2 linked regions of the Astyanax mexicanus genome follow. The protein of the gene in region 1 interacts with the protein of each later gene in a pairwise test. Links are inferred from orthologs where the notes say so. Each region holds a gene or a part of one and is shown in the gene's direction. Other genes may lie near its edges.

Evidence for each region.
Region 2: the proteins of plxnb3 (region 1) and arhgef11 interact in a two-hybrid assay, tested with the Homo sapiens proteins (2 studies listed by BioGRID and IntAct). The link is inferred for Astyanax mexicanus from reciprocal best matches to the Homo sapiens genes PLXNB3 and ARHGEF11.

The regions. Positions count from the first base shown.
Region 1 is NC_064419.1:4,448,108-4,454,432, forward strand, and holds the start of plxnb3 (plexin-B3), read left to right. Parts: upstream 1-2,176; 5' UTR 2,177-2,387; intron 2,388-6,325. UniProt on the Homo sapiens protein: Receptor for SEMA5A that plays a role in axon guidance, invasive growth and cell migration. Stimulates neurite outgrowth and mediates Ca(2+)/Mg(2+)-dependent cell aggregation.
Region 2 is NC_064415.1:12,358,393-12,364,717, forward strand, and holds the start of arhgef11 (rho guanine nucleotide exchange factor 11), read left to right. Parts: upstream 1-2,573; 5' UTR 2,574-4,175; coding exon 4,176-4,210; intron 4,211-6,325. UniProt on the Homo sapiens protein: May play a role in the regulation of RhoA GTPase by guanine nucleotide-binding alpha-12 (GNA12) and alpha-13 (GNA13). Acts as guanine nucleotide exchange factor (GEF) for RhoA GTPase and may act as GTPase-activating protein (GAP) for GNA12 and GNA13.

The DNA.
Region 1 (6,325 bases):
ATACTGTACGGAGTATCGGCAAAAGAATAGGACATTCTGGAGCAGATAAACCTGTGATGAATCTACTGGCACAGTGTCTAACGCCAGGTAAAGAGGTATAAAGCTCCCACAGCATTTATCTGTTTAGCAGTAAGTCTATGTTCTCTGGAACAATGGAGCTCCATCCAAAACTTTTAGGATGAGTTTTGGATAAAGCAGGGTGATGATTTTCCAACATACTGACCTCACTTATGCTTATGTCGCTGAAAGTAATCAAATGCTTATAGCAATGCTTCTTCTCCAAACTCTAGTAGAGACGGTTATTCCAACAAAAGCAGGATAAATTCTTTTTAACAAGCTTAATTTTCTAAATCTTTAAAGTAGCATCTCTTACTTAGATGACAGCTTTGCACATCTTGAAATTTCTTGCCTGGAAGTCATGGCCTTCAGAGGTAATGGCCTTCAGTTAACAGCTGTGCTGAACTCAAGAGTGTTTGAGAGCATCAGTTTTTTAAGAGGTAGAGTTGGTATACAGTAATTAACACTAATTAATAAAACTTAAGAAATGAAGGCCGAAAAAGTTTACAAATTTTGAAATTATCCTCAAGTGCGTCTGCAAAGACGATTAAAAATGGTATGATGAAACTGGCACTCATCAGGACCGGAAGAGGAAGAGTTAACTCTCTTGTACAATATCAGCCCATACAGGTCCTTACTTTCGAAAAATGTAAACATAACGTTCTGTTTGGAATTATGGAGAACAGAGAATGTGAACAGACTATCTGATAATCAGAACAACTCCAACAGATCTGCCTATAAAAACCTAACTAAAAGGAAAACTGCCAGATGGTAGCACAGACACGAGGGCACCCTCATTTTTAAATGTGAAATTCAAAAAGCCATCACTGCTGGCAAAACCATTTTTTTTTTGCCTGAAAATGTAAAAGAAACCCATCTTGAAAGATGCAGAAAACATAAGATGTGGCCAAATCTAGCAAATAAAAAACACCAGTGAACTAAGAAATGCAAAAGTACCATAAGACCATGGAAATGAACTGTGGGGAAAGCTGTCAGAACTGTTTCCTTTGTTTAGAAAAAACCCTTTCTATCACTCAGACAGCCACATCAAGAAGCTGTAGGTGAATCTGAGTCAAAATCAACTATTTACAGAAGACTTCCCCTAAGAACATGCATACATCTACCACAGGATGCAAGCAGTGGTGAACCTCAAGCACAGGAAGACCAGATAGGAGATTCACTAACACCTAAAACCCTGCACAGATCTGGAACAATGTCTTATAGACAGATAAACAGATTTACAGCTGTGGTAAAAGCCTGACAGAGCATTACCAGAGAAGTGGTACAGTGCTTTGGGTTTTCTCTGAATAATTACTTACTAATTACTCATTCTAATTACGATTACTTATTCTAATATGATGTATCTACCATATATTAAAGTATCAAATATCCACAATGTAATCTGCAACCCACAGTCTAAGACATTAATGGAGGTGGACTATTCGTCAAAGGTTTGTAACATAATTGATTTAAAGTGTTGGGCAGATTTGTATTTCATTACTTCAGATATACTCAACTATACTTAAAATATACTTTGTACAGTGCAGCAGAGGATAATTTACTTTTATCCTATAATGGTGTATGTATGCAAAAAAAGAAATAGACCAATTAATAAAGATGTTTTTCTTTGATTTTACCAAATTGAAAACCTCTGGAATATAATCAACAGAAAGATGGATGATCACAAGCCATCAAACCAAGCTGAACTGCTTGAGTAAAGGCATAAAGTTATCCAAAAGCAGTGTGTAAGACTGGTGGAGGAGAACATGTCAAGATGCATGAAAGCATTCCAAATATTGATTTCTGAACTCGTAAAACTTTATGAATATGAACTTGTTCTCTGAAAGTTCTGCATCTTTTTTGTAATTTCAGCCATTTCTCAAATTTTCTGCAAATAAATGCTCTAAATTATAATATTTTGATTTTTTTTACAGAGCTGAATGAGGTAATAAATTATCATTCTTCATTCAGATAGCACGCTTCCACTTGGACCAATGGGAGGCGCTGAAGCCACGCGCGTGCACCCAGCCGCATCTTCACACTGAACCAGCGTGTTTTTATTATTTATTTGGTTAATTTTTTCCCACCCAACTCCACGTGTTGCATTGTGGGTTCCACACCTTCGTTTTAGGAGAAGTTTTCGTGTCGCTCCTCTCCAGCGGCGGCAGCAGCAGCGGCAGCAGCGGGGGGCGGAGGACCCTCCAGCGGACACATTTCTGCTGCTTCAACGCGTGAATAAAACACTCCAGAACCCTGGACAGACTCTATATACCGGGCAGTATTTTTTTTTATCCAGACGGGGAACACAGCTATTTTATCGGCTGCGGACGGTAAGAGACACTTTACGGCTTAATATTTTGTGCTTTTGAGGCGAAACTGAAGTTGTTTTAATAGTCTAATTTTGCGAATTAACAATTCCACCTTAAATGGGGCAGCGGCTGCGTTGTGTCGCCTGGAGGCGCCGGTATCTTTCAATGGGATGCTGCTCTATTTAAGGTGGTATGATTAAATTCTAATTTAAAGTTAGTTTTAGTAGATGTTAACCGGTTTATTATTATAAAAACAGGTTTATGAAACATTGTTTAAGGTTATTGTAGTTGTTTTGTCGATATGTTGCATTTAATTTGGAAACTTTAATATCTATAAACCCAAACTAAGATAAGATATATATTTATCTAACCTATATATCTTGGTTTACGTTAATAAAAGTCACGCAGTCTGTTGACCCTTCGTGCCCCGGCTGGGTGGTGTGGTGGAGCCTGCGGCGGTGTGTGTAAGCTGAGCCGGCCGGGAGAGGAGGGTGAATAGCTCGCATTCTTTCCTCCTCATGCCCGGTAGCTCCGGGTGTTTTTTACCAGCGCCGGTGAGAGAGACAGGCAGGCAGCGGGGAAGCAGTGCGCGCAGTCCGGGGAGATTCAGGAAGGGCGCTCGGTCCACCTGCACCAACCTCCAGTGCTCAGCTGATAACAGCAAGGTTTACTAAAAAAAATCATTGTAAAGTTCCTTCATTTCAGTAATTCAGTTCAAAACGTAAAAATTAGAATATTATATAAGACCAGTTGGTACTGTTGGCAGTGTGGGCAATTTGCCAAGAAGTCCTGCTGGAAAATGAAATCTTCATAAAAGTTGTTAGCAGAGGAAAGCATGAAGAGCTGTACGAATTTGTGGGTTTTGTTTGTTGTGTTTTGCTTCATAGTTTGAATGACATTAGTATTACAGTGCAGAACATTTTAAAACAATGAAAAACCACTGAATTTAAGGTGTCTCCAAACTTTTGACTGGTACTTTTTGTCATTGCTCACTCAACTCCAGTACCCAGTAAAGTCTAATTATTTAATTTAAGTAAAGTAAATCTAATTAACAGTGAGCTAATAGGCATTCTTGTACAAAAATTAATTCTTGTTTTGTTCTCGATTAAAGCTGAACTGTCAAAAATTTATATAAACAGCTGAATCAGATGGAGTGGTTCAAACTTTATTTATCCCCATATATACAGCTCTGGAAAAAAATTAAGAGACCAGAAAATATGAAATGGCTGAAATAACAAAAAAGATGCAGAGCGTTCAGACTTCAAAAATGCAAAGAAAACAGGTTCATTATTCAGAAATCAATATTTGGTGGAATATTCCTGCTTTTAATTACAGTTTTCATGCACCTTGGCATCATGTTCTCCTCCACCAGTCTTACACACTGCTTTTGGATAACTTCATGCTACTCGAGCTTTTACCTTTTTTTGCCTTACATTAAATTCATGTTTTTATGCTCCAGTGAGTCGTATAGTATTGTAGTACTCCAATGTAAACTCCACTGCATAGAAGTGATAGGACTTCATACGGCATGTTTCAGCCAATCAGTGGTAAGGATAAAAGAGTAAATCACATTTTATGACTGAAGCAGTTCTTTGATTTCAGAGCTATATGAGTGGAGTGAACACTGCGGGGGTCAGTGGAGGGCTGTGGGTGGTAATGAAGTGAAGACTTCACTGTGAACTCTCTGAAGTTTCGAGAGTTCGGCCTGTTCACTCACACACACACACACACACACACACAAAAGCCGACTGGGTCATGAAAGTAGAGCACTGGGGTAGAAAGGACACATGTCATAACTAAGTGCTGGATTAACTCTTACAGTGGGGAATGAAACCTTATTGTGTTTGTTTGTGATTAATTAGTGTTAAATGATCTCAGTAATGTGAGTTAATTCAAGTATATTAATTTCCCTCTGACGTTAAGTTGAGTTGTGGCATCAGGTCAGTGTGTTTCCCAGTTTATTCCATAGTCTGCACAATAAAACAGCAGTGGAACAGGGCAGTATTTAACAGTAAATCACTAGAAGTAGTGGTACTTAAACAAATAACCATGATTTATGAGTGTTTTGGTGTGTGTGCGTGTGTGTGTGTGTGTGTTTGTGTATCATGTACAGTACCAAAAGAGTCAAAAGTTTGTATACACCTTCTCATTCAACGTTCTTCTTTTTGTTCCTGCATAGTAAATGAATATTGAAGTGATCCAGACTATGAAGGAAAACATAAGGAATCAAGTAGGAACTTAAAAGTGTTGAACAAACCTAAAAAATACTCTGTGAAGCATTTATGTGCTCTTATCCTGTGCAATAGAGGAAACTCTAGCTCTTCCTTTCCTGCGGTATTCCTGATGAGAGCCAGTTTCATCATTACATTTTAATGGTCTTTGCGGTGACTGCAAGCCTGATAACTGTAAGCCTGAAATTTCAGGTTGCTCTAACTCATAAATCTGAGAAAACTAAGAAAATGCTGTCATCTAAGCAAGAGGTGCCTACTGTGAAAAATCTCAAACATAAAAAATATTCTGGTAGACTTATGTTTTTCTTTGTAGTTTGGATAACCAGTATAAATCTACAATGCAAAACATTTAAAAGTGCGGTTTCTGAGGCTGGTAACTCTTATCCTGTACAACAGAGAAAACTCTTGCTCTCCCTTTCCTGGGGTATTCCTGATGAGAGCCAGTTTCATCATATGGTTTTTGATGGTCATGCTGAGTTCTGAGAGCTCTTAGCATCGGTTGGTCCACACTTACAGTCAGGAGTCACAGTCAGTCCTATTATGTAGGATGATATAATTGGATACGGTCAATCATTGACAAGGAATGCAGAAGTAATGTAGAGTGGTGTGTTTGCTCAGTCAGGGAATTAAACCCCTAGTCTGCCATGGGGAAGTTGGTGTTGTTACCCAAAATGCTACACCTTATTTTATTAAGAGGTGTGGGCGTCGCTTTTCTGTGCATCATTTACAAAACAAGGAACATAGTTTGTTACTGAATGATGCTGATATAAAGCGCAGTTATATAGAGCGGGAACATAATTTGGAAAGGTAATAAATGATTTCTGACTCTGTATGTGTGTGAGATCATTGCTGTAGGACAGCAGATTGCGGTGCATAAATGGAACGTCGTAAACTGGAAGTCAACGCACTTCCTCAGAGAAGCTGAGCGCCAATCTCCAATCCAAACAATGCAAATGGATTATGGGTTTTCCATATTCATCAGTGTACATTGTTTGTACAGTATAATTACACTGCAGTGACACTGATTGGCATGGTGGGGGTGTGTTAGTTAGTGAGTGTGTGTGAGTTGTGTACGGCTGCAGCGATTAGTCGGCGTTATCGACAATGTTGACTATAAAGAATAGTTGAGGCGTTTTTTTTTTTATTGTAAACCTGTCGTTAATGTGTGATAGAGCGAGAGAATGTACCGTACGCGACCGTACGAGAAAGAGAAATAAACACCCATAGTGAGAGAGTGACAAATCCTGAGCATCCTGATTGGCCTCTCCTCATGCTTAGCTGGCCAATAATGTTTCAGCGTGGGTGGGACTTGCAGCTCATGAGAGAGCGGGAGAGAAAGACGAGTATACAGTGTAATAATAGCATTGCTGTGTTCATTAAACACAAATAAACGCATATAACTCCACACAATACTCTACAGTCTGTTTTATCTAGTTCTGTTCAGTTTAAACACTGACTTCTATACCTGTGAAGAGTTAAATTACTGCAAAGAGCTGCTGAGGAGAGTTTAAACCGGCTGCACTCCTTCATTAACATTATTAACATTAGTTACACTAATGTTAGCTGGATAAGTGTTAGGAAGATACTGTCCTCTTTCCACAAGTAGGGCAAATTGTGGACAAAGCTGCAGATTTAGCATGGAGGTACAACTGCTTGCTGCTTGTCATTGTTGGTGCTGTCATTTGAGCTGACCCAAAATGAAAGGAAGGTGAAATATAGCTATGGGCG
Region 2 (6,325 bases), on another chromosome or scaffold:
CTTATTTTGACATACTAAGTCGCTATTTTGAAATATTATCCCGATATTTTGAGATACTTAAGTTATTACTTTGAGATACTAAGTCATTATTTTAAGATACTAATTCATTATTTTGAGATACTTAGTCATTATTTTGAGATACTAAGTGATTATTTTGAGATACAAAAAGAATCAGTCTGAAAGAATCAGAAAACTGATCTGATAAACATTGACCATGTCCACCCTGTTGAGATTAAATATGCTAATTAAAATTCAAATGTATATTTAATACAGAACAAGGTCACCATGAAAAAATCTGCAACTTCAATTCTCTGAATTTGAGGCTTAATGTGAAAATAAATAAACATCTTTCTACTTTTCCACTTCTCACTCTCACGGACAGAATTCCAGGAAAAATAAAAAGAATAATCTTGATTTTTCTCACCCAGTCTGATGGTAAAATACAACCTACTCATCTAGGATGCATAAATGGAAATGTAAATAATCAAGTAAAGATTCAGCTTTATTTTCGCTAAAATTCTGATAGTGAGGAGTGGAAATTAACCATTTTTTCTTTATTAAATAGGGGAAAAAATAACATTGACGTTTTGCACCCAGTTGTCTATTTTAGAATTTAGACCCAAAATGTAAAAATAAAATGCTTAAAATTCAACTGATGTTACACTGACCCAAGTAGATTTTCGTTTACACCCTGGTGTGCAGCTTACCATGACAAATGCATGTAAGTGAAAATTATACTTTATAAAATGATTAGGTAAATATATGTCAAATATGTCAAATGACCAAAAGAATTAGAAATGTCGGTGTTGTTGTGTAGGGGCGGGGCCACAGCTGAAATCTGATTGGCCCCCTGCAATGCCCCTGTCCTGTTACTCATCTGTCCTTTGCCCAATTGCAGTGATCAGATTCCAAGGGGATTCCCAAACACTAGAGGAGCCAACTAGGGGACAGCTTATGTAAGAGAGATGTTTTAAACTTACAATATTTTAAAAAAAAAAGCAAAACAAAAAAGTTTAAAAACAAATTGTATAAAATCATATTTCATCTATGTACAATAAAAATACATGTTAATTTGGTAAAGAGATTTTTATGGAATTAATTTTGTGGCAGAAATATGAAATCTGCAATCAAAATGGCAGATATATACAGAAGCAAAAAAACAAAAAAAAATGAGATTTCAGAAGCAAAAGACCACCGAAATGAAACCAAAGTGTAGGCACATAATTTCCAAGAAAATTCAAAGAATAATCAAGTAAACAAATATAGTTATAAATATACATTTACATATATTTTGTACTGTGTTCAACTTGCAACATACACTTTTAGCCTTGGATTCTTAAAAAAAATGATTGCACATAATTTTTAAATTAAATAGATTTTACTGTGCAAGCTTTAATAACTTTTAGTTAATAAACTAAAATTGCATTCAAGTATTTGAACATGCTGTTGACTGGTGAAATAATACTTACACTTATATTTAAATATTGTAAAAAAAATGTCTTGATCTTTAAATGTTTTAGTGGTCATGATTAAGGTTCTCACATAAAACCTTTTTTATTTTATAACTAGTTTTTATTTTGTAAAACCATTTAAAGTGATGCACAAACAGCTGTTTCCTTTACATTTAATAAAAATAAATAATCGTTTAAATAAATAATAAGCAGTTCCCTTTAACCATACCTTGAAATTTTGATTTAACCTCATGTTGTGTTCCAGGTCAATTTGACCCGTTTTAAAGTTTAAAGATCTAGAAAAAATAGTTAAGAGTATTTTTTCAGTATGAAACTTCGTCTGCTTGTCTTAGTTAGTGTAATCAACATATAACATGATAATGGTTAATCTCACATACTTGCAACCACCCCCTGCAAAAAACTAAAACTAAAACAAAATTGCAATGTTATGTTTTAATGTTTTGTAAAACTATTGTTTTATATGTTGGTCTTTTAAAAGTAATAAAGTAGTGTAATAAAGTTTGAACATGTATTTTTTAATGAAAAATGAGTTATTGAGTAATTGAAGCATTACCTGTTAAAGGTAAGGAACACCATTGCACTCAATATTAATATAATAATTAGCAATTAATAAAAAATATATACACTGTAAATAAAAATGTAAGCATTTTTGGGGGGGTTCAGGTATATTTTGGATAATTCAACATGCACCGGGTCAAACTGACCCTGGGACTGGAACACCATTGCTGTTCCTGGCAAATGAACGCAATAGAAGGGGTTAAAAATGGTGAAAACATAGGGTGCTTGAATTTCAGTTAAGGAAACTATAAATTATGAAATTTACAATTATCACTGCCGAATAAACAGTTATTTAAAAGTTCTTTACAGGTTTCTGATAAAAGCACAAGCCTATATACTGAGAAAGATGTATTAAAACAGTAATTTGGCAACTCTTTGAATATTTTTGCCCGCTGACTCGCCACTGTGAGGGTCAAAATTCACAATATTGTCATACTGTCCCAAACAGTATTCTACCAGGGTTATTGTCCTAGTTTCTGTACCCCGGTAGGTGTAGCGGTTGTGGCCGGTAGATGGAGAGCTTGAGCGGGTTTGTGTTCGCCTCTGCAGGCAGACAGACTGACCAAACACAAACCCACGGCTGATGGTGGTGCTGCTGGCTGTGGTGGAATGGTTTCGATATCCAGCCAGCAAGAGAGCAAACAACCAAGCAAAAGCGCCGGGTTCTCACTTCTGCTAAAACACAGCAGCAGCAGCACCAGGGCACATAGCTAGCTAGCAGAGTCTGGAGACCCAGAGCCGGAGCAGAGGGTCTGTTCCCCGGTGACAGACAGAGCGGAGCTGGGCGAGCAGGACAATGGCATCTGAGCTGATATGGAGCAGCTGGAGGATCAGATGAAGAAGCTTGCTGGCTATCAGAGCCTGAAGAGTTGCTATACCAGCGATTGTATCACTTGATAAAGACTTGTAGTCTGTCCTGTTTTGTTTTATGCCCTTTCTGCGAGTCCTGGATCCAATCCCGTTCCCGTTAAGCTGAATATCTGCAGAGCTGCTCCTGACCAGCGTTAATCAAACCTATCATTTTGCACGGGCCTCGCTGCCGCCTCTTGGACCGCCGTGAAGCCGATGGAGGAGCGGTTTCGAGCGGACGGCGTGTGTACGCGAGAGCGGGGATTCGGTGTGGCCTGGAACACTGGAGGAGATTTCTGTTGCTAGGCTAGGCTAGGCTAAGCTAATGCTGCACTGAAAACAACAACAGCAGCAGCAATTCGACTGAGCAGTGCAGTGGAGTGGAGTGGTGTGCATTTTATTGGTCAGCTAGCTAACACATTTAACTAAAGGTAATTTTTATTTATTATTTTTAGAAATAAGTAGCTAAATATCTACGCAGTGATATTTAGCTGCTTTAGCTTAGCTAGGTTAGCCAGCCAGCTTAGCTAACTAGCTATATTATTAGCCACATAGCTAGCTAGCTTGTTTTGTAGCCCACAGTAATCTATATCTAACAGTTGGATTTTTACTAAAGGAGGTGTGTTTGGTGGATGCACTTTAATTAAATATCGTATCACTGTGTAATAATTATAAATAAATATACATTTTTGTAGCTATATTTGCTTGTAGCTAGCTAGTGTGGAAGTCTGTGCAGCTGCAGTGACCCCAGCTAGCCAGCTAACTAAGCTAGGTTATGTAGGTTATCTCGAAGTGACATTTATCCAGAATTTCTGTAGCTACTTTTCTTTTCACACAGCAAACATTTTAACACAATTGTGCTTTTATAAGTCAGGACCAGACAACTGTGGTTTTTCTGTTTTGTGGCAAATTTGTTCCAAGTGTGTTGACATCTCCATAATAAGTGCAAATTAATGAACAAGATTCATGACACTGACCTAGTGGACATCTAGTCAAAGCCACTGAATTCAAAAACAAGAGATTGCCCAGCTCTCCTCCAGGCATGGACCTTACGGCTCCTCTATGCAATGAGAAGATGAATGGTAGCTAGTAGATAGAACCATTGAACCAGTGTCCCAAATGAAACTTTGACTGCTGCTCCAGAGAGACAGAGAGAGAGAGTTGTGCTGGAGTTGTGAATGAACCCAGGAAAAAAAGAAGAGCTGAGACAGACCCTTCACACAAGGAGATGATGACTGAACATTAACCATATTTCGCTACACAGACGAGTGGACAAGCTTCGGAAGGTGTGCAGCCATGAGTGTTCGACCTCCGACATCTACTTTGGACAGGTATGTGGTTGCTCCATCTCTGAATGGGTGAGTGGTGGCTTTTCAGCAAGGCCAGAGGTCTTCAACTGGTGTTTTGGAAGGTCAGAGCACAGATTTGTTTGTTTTTGCACTGCTTGCACACTGTAAGCCTCACTGCTTAGATTATAGAGGAAGGAACTTGCTACTCTCTGCAATTCTGTGTGGCCTTTAAAAACTATTTTTGGGCAGAAGGTTACTCATAGGGATTAGAGACAGGGCTAGGACATGAATGCCCTGTTACACATCTGGAGGTAGAGCTGCGCACAGTATATACAAATGTCAGTTTTACATACTACGAGAGTGATTCATTCAAATATCCACAGCACTCTTCTAGAACAGTGATTGGTCTGGATGCATGCTGTGCACCCAGTAAAAATCACTGCAGTTGGTTTTAGGGCCTACTTGTATGTTGCTGAAGCTTTTCTAAAATAACATTTGCCAAAAGGTCAGAACATACAGTTGTGCAGAATACACTATGAACACGTGGATATTAATCTGCAAAAACAGGCTGTACTAAAATATAGCCTGTGTAGACTATCTGCTCTTTCATCCATTCCATTCACACAGAAGTTATAAGTAATGTGTCAGCCAAAACAGTCTAAAAAGGCATTGTAACAGAGAAGAGAGACATATCAAATATATCAAGACTTTTAGTAACAAGAAATTGTTTTGGTATTGGAAATAGTGAATCTGTTCAGGTCTGGTTGGCACCCATTTCATCCAATCAGACTCTACTTAGCTAGTTAATGTCAAAGCCCCAACTGTATGACTGACCCAAGAGACCTCTTCTCAAACAAGCTCCAGATGGGTTTGCTTCAGACAAAACTTATTTTTGCTTTACTTGCTTTAGATGGATTTTTAGGTAATACACCAAAAATAGAAATTCTTAGCTGTAAATAAAACTGTATTTCAAAATAAAACTAAAACCATGCAGTAGGTTGATTTAATGTATTTACATAAAAGCTATCTGAACTGCTAGAGAGGCAAAATTTGGCACAGCACCTGGAATGGCAAGTCGCTGAACTTGACAGCATGTTAACACCTGATTCATGACCCGATGCGTTAGAGACACTCTGTCTAGTTAGGTGTTGACAGTAGGACATTCAGGAAGAAAGTTCTTTATTAACTGCAGTGTGAAACCAAAACCAACTAGATCCAAAGTACGCAGTGTAACAAACGTGAACCTTCATTCAGATTTTGGTCTAGACTAATTTGACTACCTTAGGGAGTGCATTTATTTGTTTATAGTTATGTTTCCAAACGGGATGTACACTCATGTATATAGTTGAATTTATCGAACACCTGTACTAGAAAGATGAGACATCCAGAAGGAATGAGGCCATATTTGTGGTTCAGTGGTTGTATGAATTCATTCAAGACCTTCACTTCACTAAATTATATTATGCTGCCCTAGTCTGCCTTCCCATTCCCTTTCTACATTTCTCCTAATTTTACATACCAGACTTTGATGTTCAGACAAATCAAAAGATGCTGATTAGCAGGCCTGGCATGTTTCACTGGGGTCAGAGCTGGGTTTTCTTTTTTTCGCCTACATGGTTGAGTTCCTGGAGGATGATTGGGTTTCTTGATCTAAAAGAGGCTTTCTTTCGGTTACAAAAGATAAGATGATGTACGACCACCCATGACTCCTGTATGTAACTGGAAACATGGACTTTTTTTTTACCAGCTGTTGTCGCAAACATGACATAACTTGGCACATGCGGAGATTAGGCCTTAAGTAGTAGGAAGACTTAAGTATAGTCTAAAAATGCACCCCTAAGGTGTGTAGTAAACTCGCAGTGATGGTACTGGTTTTTCCACCTTTGTGAATGTTCGCTAGTGCTGCTGTTTGTTTCCGTATTTGTAGCTTGACTTGTAGATTCTGCATGACAATAGTCTGTTTGTGTCAGGAAAGACCAGTGTCACACATGGGGGGGGTGAGTCAGACAGGAGACATGACGATAATGTCTATCTTTTTTTGGCGATCCACCATAACTCCCCCCCCCCCCCCCCCCCTCTATCATCGGCTGTGGTGGAAGGCCTCGGTCCTCTGTGTTCATCTTAGTTTCTGTCTGTCTTTATCTTTGTTTCTGTCCT